5 linked regions of the Macaca fascicularis genome follow. The protein of the gene in region 4 interacts with the protein of the main gene of each other region in a biochemical or structural test. Links are inferred from orthologs where the notes say so. Each region holds a gene or a part of one and is shown on either strand. Other genes may lie near its edges.

Evidence for each region. The genes of interacting proteins can lie anywhere in the genome.
Region 1: the proteins of NOTCH1 (region 4) and USP10 form a complex in vitro, tested with the Homo sapiens proteins (2 studies listed by BioGRID, with this or other methods). The link is inferred for Macaca fascicularis from reciprocal best matches to the Homo sapiens genes NOTCH1 and USP10.
Region 2: the proteins of NOTCH1 (region 4) and NUMB form a complex in vitro, tested with the Homo sapiens proteins (2 studies listed by BioGRID). The link is inferred for Macaca fascicularis from reciprocal best matches to the Homo sapiens genes NOTCH1 and NUMB.
Region 3: the proteins of NOTCH1 (region 4) and MAML1 form a complex in vitro, tested with the Homo sapiens proteins (2 studies listed by BioGRID). The link is inferred for Macaca fascicularis from reciprocal best matches to the Homo sapiens genes NOTCH1 and MAML1.
Region 5: the proteins of NOTCH1 (region 4) and NFKB1 form a complex in vitro, tested with the Homo sapiens proteins (2 studies listed by BioGRID). The link is inferred for Macaca fascicularis from reciprocal best matches to the Homo sapiens genes NOTCH1 and NFKB1.

Annotation. Positions count from the first base shown.
Region 1 is NC_088394.1:80,622,710-80,626,226, reverse strand, and holds part of USP10 (ubiquitin carboxyl-terminal hydrolase 10), read right to left. Parts: intron 3,197-3,517; coding exon 2,156-3,196; intron 1-2,155. UniProt on the Homo sapiens protein: Hydrolase that can remove conjugated ubiquitin from target proteins such as p53/TP53, RPS2/us5, RPS3/us3, RPS10/eS10, BECN1, SNX3 and CFTR.
Region 2 is NC_088381.1:141,172,699-141,176,215, forward strand, and holds part of NUMB (protein numb homolog), read right to left. Parts: intron 3,054-3,517; coding exon 2,907-3,053; intron 983-2,906; coding exon 267-982; 3' UTR 1-266. UniProt on the Homo sapiens protein: Regulates clathrin-mediated receptor endocytosis. Plays a role in the process of neurogenesis.
Region 3 is NC_088380.1:186,656,384-186,659,900, reverse strand, and holds part of MAML1 (mastermind-like protein 1), read right to left. Parts: intron 1,548-3,517; coding exon 571-1,547; 3' UTR 1-570. UniProt on the Homo sapiens protein: Acts as a transcriptional coactivator for NOTCH proteins. Has been shown to amplify NOTCH-induced transcription of HES1. Enhances phosphorylation and proteolytic turnover of the NOTCH intracellular domain in the nucleus through interaction with CDK8.
Region 4 is NC_088389.1:2,860,903-2,864,419, forward strand, and holds part of NOTCH1 (neurogenic locus notch homolog protein 1), read left to right. Parts: intron 1-161; coding exon 162-310; intron 311-1,022; coding exon 1,023-1,239; intron 1,240-1,421; coding exon 1,422-1,509; intron 1,510-1,597; coding exon 1,598-1,763; intron 1,764-2,643; coding exon 2,644-2,939; intron 2,940-3,517. UniProt on the Homo sapiens protein: Functions as a receptor for membrane-bound ligands Jagged-1 (JAG1), Jagged-2 (JAG2) and Delta-1 (DLL1) to regulate cell-fate determination.
Region 5 is NC_088379.1:108,284,492-108,288,008, forward strand, and holds part of NFKB1 (nuclear factor NF-kappa-B p105 subunit), read left to right. Parts: intron 1-1,627; coding exon 1,628-1,752; intron 1,753-3,102; coding exon 3,103-3,169; intron 3,170-3,495; coding exon 3,496-3,517.

The DNA of each region.
Region 1 (3,517 bases), on a different chromosome or scaffold from region 4:
TCATTTTAAGAGAACTTCAGAGCAACAAGAGTACCTGAGATAACGTATTTTGTATAAGGAATAAAATACTCTTAAAAAAATGTATACATTGCTTGCTATCATCCTACTGCCATCCAAAGAATGTGTTTTATTTTTTACACAATTCTGACCCTCCACAGAAGGGTGTGCATTTGGCAGCTTGCTGCTACATCCTGGTAATGAAGGTTGTCAGGCCGGGCGCGGTGGATCAAGCCTGTAATCCCAGCACTTTGGGAGGCCGAGACGGGCGGATCACAAGGTCAGGAGATCAAGACCATCCTGGCTAACACAGTGAAACCCGGTCTGTACTAAAAAATACAAAAAAAACTAGCTGGGCAAGGTGGCGGGCACCTGCAGTCCCAGCTACTCAGGAGGCTGAGGCAGGAGAATGGCGTAAACCCGGGAGGCGGAGCTTGCAGTGAGCTGAGATCCGGCCACTGTACTCCAGCCTGGGTGACAGAGCGAGACTCCATCTCAAAAAAAAAAAAAAAAAAAAAAAAAAAAAAAAAAAAAGAAGGTTGTCAAGTGTTCCAAAAGGTCACATCAGAAAGTATTACAGAGAGCCTAAACGAAACAGCTTATTTTAACTTGGCTGCTAGGGTAAGAATCTGAAGATCCGGCTACCAAGCTTAGTAGAATCCAACCTGATGACCGAGCTTCTGCTTCTTAGGCAGGTACAGCCATGGGCAGCGTAACAATGTTTCGGTCAACGATGGACTGCACAGATGATGGTCCCACAAGATTCTAATGGAGCTGAAAATGCCCTGTTGCCTAGTGACGTCTTGATGCTCCTGACCCTGTTCAGGCCCAGGCTGATGTTTGTGTCTTAGTTTTAAGTTTAAAAAGTTAAAAACTAATTTTAACAGAAAAAAGCTTATAGAATAAGAATAAAAAGGAAGAAAATATTTTTTGTATAGCTGTACAGTGTTTCAAGCTAAGTGTTCTCATGAGTCAAAAAGTTTAGAATTTTTAATTTAAAAGTAAAATAAACAGTAAAAAGGTTACAGTAGGCTAAGGTTTATTTCTTATTGAGGAAAAATGTGTAAATCAACGTAGTACAGCCTAAGTGTACGGTGTTTATAAAGCTCGGCTTTGTTCAGTACTGTCCTAGGCCTTCACATTCACTCAGCACTCATCACCGACTCACTCACCCAGAGTCACTCCAGTCTTGCAAGCTCCATTCATGATGAGTGCTCTGTACAGGTGAAGCATTTTTCATCTTTTATACCCTATCTGTACTGTATCTTTTCTATGTCTAAATGTGTTCAGGCACACAAATACTTAGCACTGTGTTACAACGGCCTACAGTACTCAGTAGTGACATGCTGGACACGGAGCAATAGGCTGCACCACTAGCCGAAGGCTCTACCATCTGTATTTGTGTAGTACTCTCTGATGTTAACATGCACATCTCAGAGCACACATCCATCGTTACGCAACATGTGGCTGTGTGAGCACACATACCTCTTTCATACCGTGCTGCATTTCTGACTTCCTACTGTAACTTTTTAAAAACAACCTGTGAATTATGCAGCTTTCCATTTTTATTGTAATTGTTTCTACCTTGGAGCCTTAGCACTTCAAAATAAAATATTAACTTTGGGCTGAACTCTTAACATTATTCTCTTCCTTTCAAGAGCTGACGTTGATTTATCAAAATTCTGAATAAAATCCATTTACTCAATGCAAAATAGGCATAAAAACAAAAACATGTTATTTCACAAAATGCTTTCTTATATCTTAAGAAATATAAAAAGGAAGGAGCACACAGTGAGTACAAATCAGGATTATCACACCAAAGGTATATCACAGAAAAAGTCCATTATACATTCACACCGTGGAGCAGAATTACTTGAACAAAAGGCAAGAAATGGAAATGTAACTTGTCAACAGAAAAGAACTAACAGGCATGGATCTTTCACTTAACTTAAAGTTTTGACAACCCTCTCCTCCCATTTGTTTCTATATTGTCTTACTTCTAGAGAACATTTAAGACATAGGCATTCTTCAGACACTGCTATTAACACACAGGTAATCTACCATTGTTATGGGTAACACTCTAACACCACAGTCTATAAGACCAGTTGATGAGGTCTGTTCCCATCTTCACTCTAGATTTGTATCTTTTCAACTATACCTGCAATCTTTATGGCTACGGGATCCTCTGAAACTGGAACAAGCCCTTCTTTGACTTCAACCTGCTTTTCAGAAACCAGGGGAGATATGGCGGGAGGGGAATACTTAGTTTCCACATAGGCCATCGGCGAGGAGGAAGAGGGCTTAGAATCGTGAAAGAGACTGGCCCAGGACTTGGGCTGGCTGACAGGAAGGGTGCCTGATGCAGAGCCTGTGCCGTCAGCCGGAGGTGATGCATTCTCGGGTTTGGTTGGGTCCAAGTCTATGCTTTCCGTGGTGTGCAACTCCACCCCATTGGTAGCTGTGCCCTCACCCGAGGATTCAAGTATTTGTCCATTAGCAACTCCAAGGTTTTCAGTAGTATCGGTACCAACGCAGGGCTGAGCCCCAGCTGTCCTTGACAGGGTGTCTCTGCCAGCCTCTGCAGGGAAGCAGGACTGACCAAAATCAGCCCCGGGGCTCCCCTCTGGCTGCCCTGCAGTCCTGGTGTCACTGCTGAGTGCTCCGGGGAAAGGACTGTCAGGCACAGTGTCACTGACAGAGTCTGTGGAGTTCTGGGGGCTGTTACAAGTCCTGGGCGTAACTGACGGGGGCATGTCACCCATAAATTCTGCATCCTCTGCACTGACACTGTTCGGGACTGCTGAACTGGCATGGCCATTGACCAGGGCTTCTGTGGAAATACTATCATCACCGCCATCTTTCAAATAGCTGTAATATCCAGGTGGCCGCTTTTTCTTCTTTTTACGCTCCCTTTGTCCAAGACCACCTGAGACACCATCATTTTCCAAAACTTCCGCCTCCACATTAGAACTTCCATCCAAAGCGAGGGCAGAGCCTGGGTACTGGCAGTCGATGGAGCCATAGTTTGCTTCTTTAGTGATACCATCAGGGGTTGTTTTGGAAGTTGTACAACCGAGAATAAATTCAGGGGCCTGAGGGTTCAGTGTGCTTGAAATACTGTAGCTGGGGGTTCTCGGCAAAGTGTCACTGGGTTCGATGACTTCATTGACACCAAACTCAATTCTCTGATATTCTTGTCCTGTTTAGAAAACAAACTATTAGTTAAGAATACAGTTCTACAAACTCTAAGTACCAGTAATTACTCACTTTCTCTTTGAAAATGAAAACCTTAAATTCTCTTCCTAATCAACAAACCTATTACGTCCTTTACTTATGTGGAACAATTTGCTGAAAATGAAACCATAAAATTATTTAATTTGGGGATATGAAAAGCAGAAGCCTGTACTTATCTTCCTAGCTAAGGAAGGCTTTCAGAAAGTAGAAATTAAAATACATTTGTAATAAAAAGCAAGTAATATTCTGCCAGTTTAAAAATATCCCTCAATGGAATCTGACTTTC
Region 2 (3,517 bases), on a different chromosome or scaffold from region 4:
TAAGGGGGTGAGGGAAGAAGGAGTACAGAAAGCAACATTTCCTTGACTTCTTTAGTCTAATTGCAAGGCAGCTTTTCTCTAGGAATGCTTTTTCCCACATCTTTCAAAATCACCCCTCACAGTACTCTGGGCCTGGACTTGTTCCTTGGGACCTTTGGGATTAGTGAAAAGAGTACTAATCAGGAGACAAAGTCTGTTTTGCTCCTTTGACCTCTACCCCCTGCTCCCTGTCTGGTATGGACAAGATACACAGCCATAGGGATTGCTTAAAGTTCAATTTCAAACGTCTTCTGTAAGTCACTGGAGAAAGGGTTGGTAGGGGAGGGATTAGTACGCTGCTTGGACTTGTTTTCTAATGCAGCCCACTGGGCTTCAAAAGGATCCACCGGGCAGGTGCCTGTAGGAACCTCTGTATGCTTGTCTGCTGAGGCCAACCTGCCATCATCTATACCATTGAAAGCTGCAGAACCGTTGAGGTGCTGAGCAGGAGGCTTAAAGAAGGGACTGGTGGTAGCACTGCTTGCCTCGTAATGAGGGAATGTCTGCTGCCTGACCAGGCTGGGTGACTGATGGGGGTGGGCAGCCTGAGGGTGGCCTGCAGTGCCAAATACGTTGGCCACCATCTGGGAGGGAGTGATGCCCACCACAGGCACATTAGGGGCTGGATAGGGCATTCCATTGGCCACAGGATAAGACTGGGCAGGGACAAAGGCTGGCTGCAGGGCTGGGACTACACCCACTGGCACAGGCTGAGAGGTGAGGAATGCATTCCCTTGGAAAGGTGGTGCTGGCTGGGAGATGGCAGTGGGTGGAGGAGGCTGGAGAACTGGCTGCAGAGGAGCAGCTGATGCCTGGGGCTGCTGAGCCCGGATGCTCTTAGACACCTCTTCTAACCATCGGTCGGCCTCAGAGGGAGTACGTCTATGACCGGCCTGGAAGAGACCTGGAGAGGCAGCACCAGAAGATTGACCCCACTCGGTCCCTGGAACCAACAAGATGAGAGACAAAAGAATCCGTTAGGTGCATCTTTCCTCACCTTATTTGAATGATCCTAACATGTACAACATGTCACCCCAGTGGGACATTTTGTGGTTTTGATAGGTAGGAGGAAAGTCTATTACCAACTGGGATTTTGTGGTAGGATGAAGAAAACTTGTCAAGACCATGCTGCTGTGTCAGCCACACTGAAGCACTGTCTAGATATAGCTCAAATGCATTAAACCAAGGCAGCTGACTGATGTCAGAAACCCCTCCCTGTTGGTATGGCTCATCCACAATACAGAAACTAGCTGGTTGTGGTGGCTCGCACCTGTCATCCCGGCTACTTGTGAGGTTGAGGCAGGAGGACTACTTGAGCCCAAGAGTTCGAGGCTGCAGTGAGCTATGACTATGCCACTGCAGTCTGGCCTGGGCAACACAGTGAGAACTCTGTCTTTAAAAAAAAAAAAAAAAAAAAAAAAAAAACCCAGGCGCGCCGAGGTGGGCGGATCACCTAAGGTCAAGAGATCGAGACTATCCTGGCCAACATGATGAAACCCCGTCTCTACTAAAAATATAAAAATTAGCTGGGCGTGGTGATATGTATCTGTAGTCCCAGCTACTCAGGAGGCTAAGGCAAGAGAATTGCTTGAACCTGAGAGGCAGAGGGTGCAGTGAACCGAGATACTCTGGCCTGGTGACAGAGCAAGACTCTGTCTCAGAAAACGAACAAACAAAAAAAACCTAGCTTGCACATCCTCTAAAGGGCCCAAGGCAATTCATCTTCTGCTCTCACACAGCAAAAAGAAAATAACCAGTAATCTGGCCATATCTTGCTGGCCCCTGCCTGGCTTCCAGAAATATGTTGTCTTTGTGGTGAACTGCCTGTATTACTTATGTTAAAACCTTTTGAGGCCAGGTGTGGTGGCTCACACCTATAATCCCAGCACTTTTGGAGGCCAAGGTGGGTGGATCACGAGGTCAGTTCAAAACCAGCCTGGCCAACATGGTGAAACCCCATTTCTGCTAAAAGTACAAAAATGAGTTGGGCATGGTGACATGTACCTGTAGTCCCAGCTACTTGGGAGGCTGAGGCAGGAGAGTTGCTTGAACCCTAGAGATGGAGGTTGCAGTGAGCCAAGATTGTGCCACTGCACTCCAGCCTGGGTGACAGAACAATACTCCGTCTCAAAAAAAAAAAAAAATTTTTTTTTTGGTTATTATAATTAATAGATGTCTTTTACAGAAAAACTAGAAGGTACAAAAAAGCAAAAATGAAGTGCTTTTTGTAACACTTTTTGTAGGCCTCCTATTGTACGAGGCAGGGCCTCCTCTTTCTACAGGCATGTCTGCACGTCACCAAATCCAGTGATGGATTTTCTGAGGTGGGGCCCTGGAATCTGCTTTTTTTTTTTCTTTTTTTGAGACAGAGTATTGCTCTGGCGCTCAGGCTGGAGTGCAGTGGCACAATCTTGGCTCACTGCAACCTCCGTCTCCTGGGTTCAAGCGATTCTCCTGCCTCAGCCTCAAGTAGCTAGGACTGGACTATATGTGCATGCCACCACGTCTGGCTAAATAAAGACAGGGTTTCACCATGTTGGCCAGGATGGTCTCACTCTCCTGACCTCGTGATCCACCCACCTCGGCCTCCCAAACTGCTGGGATTACAGGCATGAGTCACCACGCCTAGCCGGAATCTGTATTTTATAAAAGCTCTACGGATGGTTTGGTTCCACAGTCCTAATGACTATTAGTCTCTCTTTTGTTCTCCTTCACCATCCTTATGTAAGCAGCTTATTTTCAGGAGGGAACGTAGGTTTCCTGAAAGGATTCCTCCCTAGTTCCCACTCAGCTAACTGGCTGAGTTTTAGAACCAGGGTCACTTATCTGATCCCAGAAATCCTCAACACCATCTGTGGCCACCTTACCCGAACATGTGGCTGCAATTTCCTTGTTAGCAGCATCAGGGGCATGGGCCCAAGGGTTGGTTTCACGCACAGGCATTGCTACGGGTGCTAGAGCAGTATGGGCTGGCTTAGCAGCAAGCACATGGAAGGCTGAGTCAGTGCCATTAGCTACAATGGGAGCAGACAACATCAATGGAGTTAATTCATGCAGGGTGTACAAGTGATCCCTTGGAGCTGCGTCAGTCAAGTGAATGTACAATACTGGTGGAATGGAGAGAGAGAAGAGTTGATATTTGGGAAAACCATGATATCTTGCATTGGATGTACATACCATTAGGCAAAGAAGGAATTAGAGGTTGTAATTTTTAAATGGTTGTATAGTAAAGTCAAATGACTGTCCTAGGAAAATATGTTCATAGGGAGAGGGGAAATGAAACCTACAACAACAATTTCAAATTAAGGTGAACAGAGCTGCTCTGTCTTAGGAGTAGCAAAAAATATCTAACTATTCTAAATATAGCTTAGCCTTTGGCACAATGAAGTAGGTACAGCATTTCCCTCTTCTTCACTTTTCCAAAAGGTCAAATTATGTTAACAATAATACTGGTTAAAAATAGGCCAGGCATGGTGGC
Region 3 (3,517 bases), on a different chromosome or scaffold from region 4:
GAGCAGAAACAAAAAAGGCTCTTAATCAAAAGGAAACCCTAGGTTTCCAATGCCACTTAATTGATTTAAACCATCACCTATCCTAATCTGTTTAAAAACCTTTTGTAAAAAAATTTAAAAATCTTTTCTATGCTACAAATTGCAAATAATTCTGCTATATAAAGTTTCAACAAAAACTTGTCCCTAACACTGGGGTAAGTGGAGAAATCTTGGATAAAATCACCATGATGGCACAGATTTTTATAAGCCTGATATCGTGGGGTTTCACTGTTGTTACTGTTGGTTTTTTGGTCATTTGGATAGAAAACCACCTTTAGAACCCTATCCTGCTGTCCCAACACCAGGTACTGATGCCAGCAGATGGGCTGGGGCCAGCCCGATGGACCGCAAGTGCTGGCCTGAGGGGCGCAGCCACGGACCCTGCCCAGGGCCAGGCCTCACCTGGAGCTTGGGCTCTACTGCCCAGCTCCCCAGGCCATGGGCTTTTGGTCCAAAGTAGTTGCTCTTTCTTTGAATCTGAGAAGAAAAATATAGGATGAATGAACACTAAAAACACTACACATCCTTCCATTACTGAGACCCTAACAGGTCGTCCAAATCATTCATCCACTCCTCTGAAGTCCTGTTCTTCAGCAGGGAGTCGATCAGGTCGGTGTGTCCAGCCACACTAGAGAGCCCACTGCCACCTGGCTGCCCGCTGTAGGCAAAAGGCAGCTCCTGGCCCGCGGTCCGCACAGGGTAGGCCTGGGTACAGTGCAGCCCTGCCCGACTGCCCATCTGTGAGGCAGGGCTCTGGCTGAAGGCCCCCAGCTCAGGCCCTGCTGGACTCAGGCCAGGCAAGCCCTGCTGAGGGGCCGTTGGGGGTGGTGCTGGGGCAGGGGCGCTGGTCCTCTGCTGTGCACTCACTGGGGGTAGCAAGGACCCCACTGCAGCTGCTGAGCTCATGGGAGCCATGGGCCTGTTGGGCACTGCCTGGGAGAACTGCGGGCTAGACATTTTCAGGTGGGCCTGCTGCTGCATGTGGAAACTGGAGGCTGCAGTGAAGGGACTCACGTTGCTGTTCCCCGGGGTCTGGCCACTCAGGGTCGGCATTCCCTGATGCTGCCAGGAGGAATTCTGGCCTCCCATGGCTGGTGACACCCTTGGGACCGGCGGCTTTGTTAAGCCAGGGTTCAGGGTCCCCTTATTGTGCTGCTGGGAGAGGCCAGAGCTTCCCAGAGAGTTCTGCCCATAGGCAGCTGAGACGGAGGCGTTCTGGCCGGTCTGCCGTGGAATGTGGGCATGTCCATTGGTGGCCTGTGGCGGGGGCTGGGCAACTATCTGGGTTATGCCAGAAGCCATGCCATAGAGGCTGCTCTGAGGCATGTTTTGGGAGCCAGGGAACTGAGCCACACCCCGGTCCTGTTGGCCTGAGTTTGCAGGGAGAGAGGAAACTGAAGCATGTCCAGGGCCCATCTGCATCAGATTCCCAGCCTGAGGGAACACTCGAGGACAGCTGGAGTTGGAGGGACCCAAGGTGTTCATGCCGGGCACGGCAGCAGAGGACCCTACAAGACAGAGAAGAGTCTGGCAGTCAGGAGTGGACCACCACGGGGCCCCTCTGAGACCTGAGCCGCAGCACCAGAAGTCTCATGTTCACAGCACACTGGGAAGAAGGCCCTGGGGACCACAGGGCAGAAAGCCTCCCACAGGTGGAATGGAGGACTGGTCTCTGAAACAATGATGGGGTTCAGAAAGGCACAGAGGAAGGGCAAAGCCCCAGGGGAGAGAAAACCAGTAACCTGCTTCATTTAACTTTCAAGCACCCACCAAATTTCTGCTCTGTGGGGACCCTGTGGTGGGCACTGGGGACTCTGAGGTGGGCCCAACGCAAGATCCACCTCTGGGAGGCAAAGTTAGCACATGGCATGATGGGGTGTGATGGGGCACACCTGGCCAGCAGGCTGCAGGGTGCAGGCCAGAAGCCCTGGCATCTGGGAAGCCTTGGGGAAGGCTTCAGAGAGACGGTGATGAATCCACTGGGTTTACAATCACATAAATTTAGCAATTTAACAGTTTGGGGAAAAAGAGCATTCCAGGCAAGTGTGTACAAATGCAGAATCAGAAAAAGGCATCTGGGTGGGAAACTTTCAGAGGCTGGCCGTGGCCAGGGTATGGAGATAGTGGCCAGCTGATTACATATAAAACGGAAGAGCTAGTTCCGGCCAGATAGGGAAGAGCTGTGGATGGCGTATGAATAACGGGGTTGTGGCTGGGCACGGTGGCTCATGCCTGTAATCCCAGTACTTTGGGAGGCCGAGACAGGAGAATCACGAGGTCAGGAGATCAAGACCATACTGCCCCAAACATGGTGAAACCCTGCCTCCACTAAAAATACAAAAATTAGCTGGGTGTGGCGGCGCACGCCCCCAGCTACTCGGGAGGCTGGGGCAGGAGAACTGCTTGAACCTCGGAGGCGGAGGCTGCAATGAGCCGAGATCACGCCTCTGCACTCCAGCCTGGGCGAAAGCAAGACTCTGTCTCCAAACAAACAGAAAAAAAAAGAATGGCGCTGTAAAGCCCAAGAGTGGCTGGACTGAGAGTGCGGCTGAGACCATGCTGGGAAGAGGCTGTTCAGTCATGCAGATGAGGGGGGGCAGACTATGTGGGAATGGGGGGTGGAGGCGCAGGACTGTGTGACAACATCTCACCAGACAATATACCATCTTATGTCACACGATTTATACTATGAAATGACAAGATGGCCAAGGGAGGGAGAAGTCACAGGAAATTACCAGATCTTCACTGAGTACCCACTCTGTGGCAGGTGCTGTGCTGGAGAGAGAGAGCAGAGGATGGAACAGAAAGCACCCCTGTGCTCAGGGAACTGCTGTCTAGGCCTCCTGGCTTAAGCAATAGACACATGGCAACACCATTAACTGAAATAGGTTTTGTGGGTAGGAGAGTCATTGTTCAGAGATTGGCCGTAACTCAGTGCTTTTTTCTTCTTCCTCTCTACTAGCAACTATATAATAAAAATTGGGGCCGGGCACGGCGGCTCACGCCTGTAATCCCAACACTGTGGGAGGCTGAGGCCAGCGGATCACGAGGTCAGGTGTACAAGGCCAGCCTGGCCAACATGGTGAAACCCCGTCTCTACTAAAAACACAAAAATTAGCCGGGTGTGGTGGCAGGCACCTGTAATCCCAGCTACTTGAGAGGCTGAGGCAGGAGAATGGCTTGAACCTAGGAAGTGGAGGTTGCAGTGAGCCAAGATCTTGCCACGCACTACAGCCTGGGTGACAGACCAAGACTCTGTCTCAAAACAACAACAACAAAATTGGATTGAGGAAAAGAGGAGAGCTGAAACAGGCTATTTCATTCCCATCAATAATCCACAAAATGTCAGATGGGTTTGAAGGCAGAAAACACAGGTCAGGCCCATGCTTCTGAGATGCCTGCAGATTTCAACCCCATGTTGACCCCAGGTAGCACAAACATGAAAGCGCACCCGGTCTCTTCCAGACACACAGCTGTG
Region 4 (3,517 bases):
GCTGCTGTCAGATCAGACCTGGCTTCCCGCCGCCCCAGGCTGCCTCGCCACGTCCTGACTGTGGCGTCATGGGCTGCGGTATCCCTGGGGCAGCGTCCCCGGCTGGTGGGTGGGGGAGGAGGAAGCCTCGGGCCCCAGCCCCTGTCTGGTTATCCCCCCAGCTCCATCGTCTACCTGGAGATTGACAACCGGCAGTGTGTGCAGGCCTCCTCGCAGTGCTTCCAGAGCGCCACCGACGTGGCCGCCTTCCTGGGGGCGCTCGCCTCGCTGGGCAGCCTCAACATCCCCTACAAGATCGAGGCCGTGCAGAGTGAGTGGCTCCTTCTCTGTTCCCCAGCCCAGCATCGCCGGGAACAGGCTCTACCTCCAGGGGATGCCATCCCCTTGTGCCCCAGACACGCTGGTTGGTTGTGCCAGTTGCCACCCACGGGTGTGCACGTCACCATCCGAGTTGGGGTAGGGCTTTTCTGGAATTTTCTGAATGGCACTCCCTCCCCACCTGTGGCGGTGACAGCTGCCGGTGGAGCCACCCGGGAACGAGTCCAGTCACGGGAAAATGGGTGCCTGCTTCTCTCCCCACCCCTTCCCCCTGAATTTTCTTTGTTGGGTATTATTTCAAAATCATTACGGCTTTTTTTAAAGAAAAAAAAGAGAGAGAGAGAAGAATTGATCGGTGTCATGTGAAGTGTTGAAGTTTGTATCTTGAAAATCCCTCTAAATCCTTTGTCTTAACAGCTCAATGCAAGTGCAGCGATTTGAAGTTGACTAATCCTCCTCCCTTAAAGGAGAAAAAAGTAAAAGCCGTCTCCAGATAGAGTCGGCTGGTGCAGGAGAGAATTTAGCGATAGTTTGCAATTCTGATTAATCGCGTAGAAAATGACCTTATTTTGGGGGGCGGGATGGAGGAGAGTGGGTGAGGAGGCGCCTGGCCGCGGAGCCAGTCCGCTGCCCCCCGGCCACCAGCCTGCTGCGTAGCCGCCGCCTGATGTCCCAGCGCCTGCCCCTGGCCCCTGTGCCCGCAGGTGAGACCGTGGAGCCGCCCCCGCCGGCGCAGCTGCATTTCATGTACGTGGCGGCGGCCGCCTTTGTGCTCCTGTTCTTCGTGGGCTGCGGGGTGCTGCTGTCCCGCAAGCGCCGGCGGCAGCATGGCCAACTCTGGTTCCCTGAGGGCTTCAAGGTGTCCGAGGCCAGCAAGAAGAAGCGGCGGGAGCCCCTCGGCGAGGACTCTGTGGGCCTGAAGTGAGCGGACGCTGCCCCTGCTTCTGGGGCCCCGGGGGGAGGTGGGACCTGGCCAAGCATCCTCATGGGGGGTCTGCCCCTCCTGATGCAGGGCCCACTTCCCACGCGAGGCCTGGGCTAGGGGCCTCTGGGGGCTTCCTAGGGAGCTTTCTCAGCCTCACTTCTCGAACCCTCACCCCCAGGCCCCTGAAGAACGCCTCAGATGGTGCCCTCATGGACGACAACCAGAATGAGTGGGGGGACGAGGACCTGGAGACCAAGAAGTTCCGGGTGAGTCGCAAGGCTCCCGGGCTCCCGGGCTCCTGGGCACCTGCCACCGGGCTGCCCTGACACACCTCTGCTCACTCCTCCTACGTAGTTCGAGGAGCCCGTGGTTCTGCCTGACCTGGACGACCAGACAGACCACCGGCAGTGGACTCAGCAGCACCTGGATGCCGCTGACCTGCGCATGTCTGCCATGGCCCCCACGCCGCCCCAGGGTGAGGTTGACGCCGACTGCATGGACGTCAATGTCCGCGGGCCTGGTAAGGGTGCCAGCAGCCAGGGCTTCCCTAGCTCCGTGGCCCACCTGCCTCTCTCCCCTAAGCCCCGAGGCTGGGGTACGGTTGATACTCTGGAAACTTAGAGTTGGGGGTGAGAGCTTTCATCCTTGGGGTATTTCCCGTTCAGAGTGGATGGGGGGTCCTGGAGTCCTCCTGTTCTTCCATCAACCCTCTCCTGGGGCGATGCCGCACGGTCACTATGTCCCTGTAAATTACTCTCTTCTGAAACCTCTTTCTTGAGATATGAAAAGCGTAGATTTTCTTTTTTTTTTTTTCTTTTTTTGAGACAGAGTCTTGCTCTGTCACCCAGGCTAGAGTGCAGCGGCACGATCTCAGCTCCCCGCAGCCTCCACCTCTTGGATTCAAGCAATTCTCCTGCCTCAGCCTCCCAAGTAGCTGGGATTACAGGCACCCACCACCACGCCCAGCTACTTTTTGTATTTTTAGTAGAGACGGAGTTTCACCACGTTGGCCAGGCTGGTCTCGAACTCCTGATCTCAGGGGATCCGCCTGCCTCAGCCTCCCACAGTGCTGCAGCTATAGCGTGAGCCACTGTGCCCATGAGCCGCTGCACCCAGCCAAAGCGTTGATTTTCTAACTGCATGTTTCTGGCGTCATCTTTTTCCTGGGTGGATTTTGGGTGCCTGGTCTTGGGCAGGTCAGGAAGCAGCTGCCCGTCAGGAGTTGACTGCTGGACTCAGCTCTGTCCACTGAGCAGCCCAGGCGGACTTCAGCTGCCCCTTGGTGGCTGCGTGGTGCATCTACACTGTGGCCCATTGAGCTCGGGGCTGCTGCCCCCCTCCCCCTGGGCTGCAGCTGGGGACCAGCCCTCCAGACTGAGCACCCGTCTCTGCCCCTGCAGACGGCTTCACCCCCCTCATGATCGCCTCCTGCAGTGGGGGCGGCCTGGAGACGGGCAACAGCGAGGAGGAGGAGGACGCGCCGGCCGTCATCTCCGACTTCATCTACCAGGGCGCCAGCCTGCACAACCAGACCGACCGCACGGGCGAGACTGCCTTGCACCTGGCTGCCCGCTACTCACGCTCTGATGCCGCCAAGCGCCTGCTGGAGGCCAGCGCAGACGCCAACATCCAGGACAACATGGGCCGCACCCCGCTGCACGCAGCTGTGTCTGCCGACGCACAAGGTGTCTTCCAGGTAGGCAGCAGCTGCCTGTGTGCCCACCTGCCCTCCTCAGGGCACCGGGTGGTCCGGGACAGTGGCCAGGCTTACGTAGCCATGGGAGCCTGACCCCGAGCACAGCTGAGTCCGGGACAGCTGGTGCCTCCACCCAGGACCTTTGCAGTCAGCGAGGTGCGACGGGAGGGGGCGGGGTCGGGCGCATCTGTGTTCTCCAGGGAAGCCAGGCAGAGGCGGGTCTGGCAGGAGGCCTGGGGGACCTGCTGAGTGAGGCAGCGCCTGCCCACCCCCCGCAAGACAGGCTCCATCAGGGTTGTGGGCCTTGCTCAAGGTCCAGGTCCCACCGCTGCAGCCCCTCGCGGCCCCACCCCTCCCTCAACCCTGGCTGCCGGCGTAGCCTGTGGCAGTGAGAAGAAGGGTTTAGAGGCTGCCGCTTGGTGCCTGCGGACCTAGGGCTCAGCTTGCCGGTGAGCTCGTGGCAAGAAATGGATTTAGGGATTTGGATGCCTGGGTCTCCGGGGAACGTCCCTGGCAGGGGCTGCCTTTGCAGTCACCCCTGCTGTGAGTCCCCAGGCTCCAGGCGGCCCTAGAGCAGG
Region 5 (3,517 bases), on a different chromosome or scaffold from region 4:
CTTGCACTAGGAGTTTGAGACCAACCTGGGCAACATTGTAAGACCTCATATCTATTAAAAAATTTTTAAAGTAGCTAGGCATGGTGTCACCCGCCTGTAGTCCCAGCTACTTGGGAGGCTGAGGTAGTAGTATCGCTTGAGCCTGGGAGTTCAAGGGCACAGTGAGCTACAGTTTCACCACTGCATTCTAACCTAAGCTATAGAATGAGACCCTGTCTCAAAAAAAATACATAAATGAAAAGAAAAGAAAAAGAAACTATAACCCTTTTAAAAATGCTTTATATTGAATTCTCAGAATCCCATGAAAGGAATAGCAAGTAACAGTTTCTCTGATATATAAATGAAGAAACTCAGATGAAAACCAAGCCCGAATCTTAATGTCATGGAAAAGGTCAGTTAAGGCTGAGTGTGGAGGCTCACACCTGTAATCCCAGCACTTTGGGAGGCTGAGGTGGGTGGATCACCTGAGGTTGGGAGTTCGAGACTCATCTGGCCAACATGGTGAAACCCCATCTCTACTAAAAATATAAAAATTAGCCAGGCGTGGTGGCAGGCACCTGTAATCCCAGCTACTTGGAAGGCTGAGGCAGGAGAATCACTTGAGCCCTGGAGGTAGAGGTTGCGGTGAGCCGAGACTGCGCCACTGCACTCACCAAAAAAAAAAAAAAAAAAACAGTCAGTTAAGGGATAGCTCATCCCTCCAGTCTTTGGTCCTATAAATTGTTCATCTTAATTTCTCCATGGTTTTTTTGGTGGGATTACATTTATTGCCTCATAGATTAGGCCAGAACTGGGAGAGTAAAATCAAGAAATAGCATGAAGATCCTCCTTTGCTTCCCATTAAGTACTCTTCTATTATTGATATTGACACATCTGATGTTCTCCCAGCAAGATAAAAACAAGTTCCTCCCTCGAAAATGGCATCATTAGACATCAAGCTAAACACTCATAAAAATAATCTAAGCCTCTGAGAAGTAACTCTAGCTCTAGTCTTTGAGTTACTTTGGTGTTTCATTTATTTGTTTGTTGTTTTTGTTTTTGCTGGATGCTAAAGAGCAGACTAGATTTCCCAAAATATTTCAGTAATTATACATCCTAGCAGGTTTGTTTATTTAAAGATCAGAACCCTGGCACTGCTGTACCCAGCAATGAAACTGGCCATGGTATCACTAGATATCAAGCATCTTTGCTATTTTGAGTGTCCAGGAAAAGGGGCTGAGAAATACATTGTCATGCATAAATTTGAACAGTGAGGACCCTAATCTGAGGGTGCACCCTAGTCGCTGTAATCATGCTGTCCATCAGCCCTCAGATTAAAGATGCATCATTCAATTGAGAAATATCCTGTAGAGTTAAATGTGAAGTCAGAGTATTTGAAGTCTTTTTTTTTTCCGATAGTATCTTTGGCTATTTAAGGTGTCATAAGACACTTTAACAATCAAAGCAAATTACAATTTTAAAACAATTTCTCTGGATATTCCAGTGGAAACGTTTTATGCATTAAAAATTATCCAAGAGATTGCCTCAAGCTGCTACAGTGCTTTGCCTTTGGGAATCTGACCTTTGCAGGCAGTTGAAAGTTGACAAGATGTGGGTTTACCTAATGCTGTGTAACCTAACTTTGCAGGAGCAGATCCCCTGGTGGAGAACTTTGAGCCTCTCTATGACCTGGATGACTCTTGGGAAAATGCAGGAGAGGATGAAGGAGTTGTGCCTGGAACCACGCCTCTAGATATGGCTGCCAGCTGGCAGGTGAGTGCCGCTCCATCTGTCTGATGGCTGCCCCTGAGGGAGTCAGAGGTTCAGGAATGTAAGAACAGATGGTCTTCCCGGTGCTTTATTTCCCAAAGAACATGCCTTTTATTTTTAAGAAAGTCTGTTTGTCAGAGACCATTTTTATCTTGAAAAACCCTATCCATGAAAGATCTAGGTCAGCTGAGTTCTAAGTACGAAAGTGTATGCCTAATCAGATCAGAGTTGAGATGTGAGAAAAGGTTAGAAGAAAAACACAAAATTCACATAAAAGTTACCCATTCTGAATTCACACCAGAACTGTTACCATCTCAATTTCTGAAGCTAGGATAAATGTTACTGTTTGCTTAGAACTTAGCTAAGTGATTTCGGGATGTAAAAATAAACTAAGAATTCTTCTTAGAATTTCAATAAATATAAAACAGAGTAAATAGATTTAAAACCTTCCTCAAAACTCCACAGGGCTGAGATCTGAAGGTATAAAGCAGTTATTAGGTCGTTTGGCCCTGGGAAGAAAAGCCAGAGGGAGGAGGTGGGCAGTGTGCAAGATCTCCAGCAAGACAAGATCAGTTCTTCTAGAGGCGAGAGCTGCTCCACTTCTATAACTGCTCATCTGCCTCCCACAGCCTGTTTGTGTCCAGCTCACTGGTGTTGGCAGAGACTACATGGTTCTCCCTTTATGTTAGCACCTCATTTCCCCAGAAGGCCTTGCCACAGAACACAAAAAGATGATGCACTCAGTGACCCCACGCTCGCCTTACCCAGGTCAGCCTGCAACAGAGTGACTGCAGAGAACACCACAAGTGCTTCTGCAGCTTTGGAATTCTTTTTCTTTTAGCCTAAGACATTTCTCGACCTCAGTTAAAACGTCAGTATTGCCAGAGGGTTAACACCAAGCCTTGTGAACATCTAGACATTTCAGCAAGCTTATACAGTTAATTCTCACAAGCTTGTTACTATGGAAGAGGGGACACAGCTTCACAGCTCTGAGTAAGCTCTTCCCTAGCCTTAGGTCTCTGAGCAGGAGATGATTGACATGGTGGCCTGGACTGCCTGTTCCTTCCAAAAGGCTATAGCTCTGACTCTCTGCAGTTTGGTTGGGTATTCTGACCCAGCTCAGAGAGTTTGTACAAAGCACAACTTCCCAGCACCAGAGCTCCCACAGCTTGTTCTTCCCCCAAAGGGTACCATATTCTTGGAGGGTGGTCCTGACTCCTCTTGCCATTCCTCCATCATTAGGGTACCAGACCCTCCTAAGGAGGACATGCTGAGTTCTTTATCATAAAGAAACAGACTGCCCTAGTGGTCCCTTTGATGTGTAACAATTTCTGGTGTTTTTCTTGCCAACAGGTATTTGACATATTAAATGGGAAACCATATGAACCAGAGTTTACATCTGATGATTTACTAGCACAAGGTGGGTTGTGATAGAACCAGATTCTCATAACCATTATTATCTCCACAGTATCATTTAAAGGGAGGAACCAGCATTATCCAGGGTCTACTGTGAAAAGTACATTTCTTATTTCAGAACCAAAAGATGCTGGAGGTAGATAAGGAGAATATCCAGTTTTAATCTACTATAAATATATACTGCCTGCTACTCAGCTGGGCTTTGACCTTCAAGTAGAGTAGCTTGGTTGCTTCCACTGGGAGTTGGAGGAAGCCAGGTGGCATTGATCAGTCCCTCCAGAGTGTCTATGGCAGGTGAGAACAAGTGTGTTCCTTCTTCATTTCCTTCAGGAGACATGAAACAGCTGGCTGA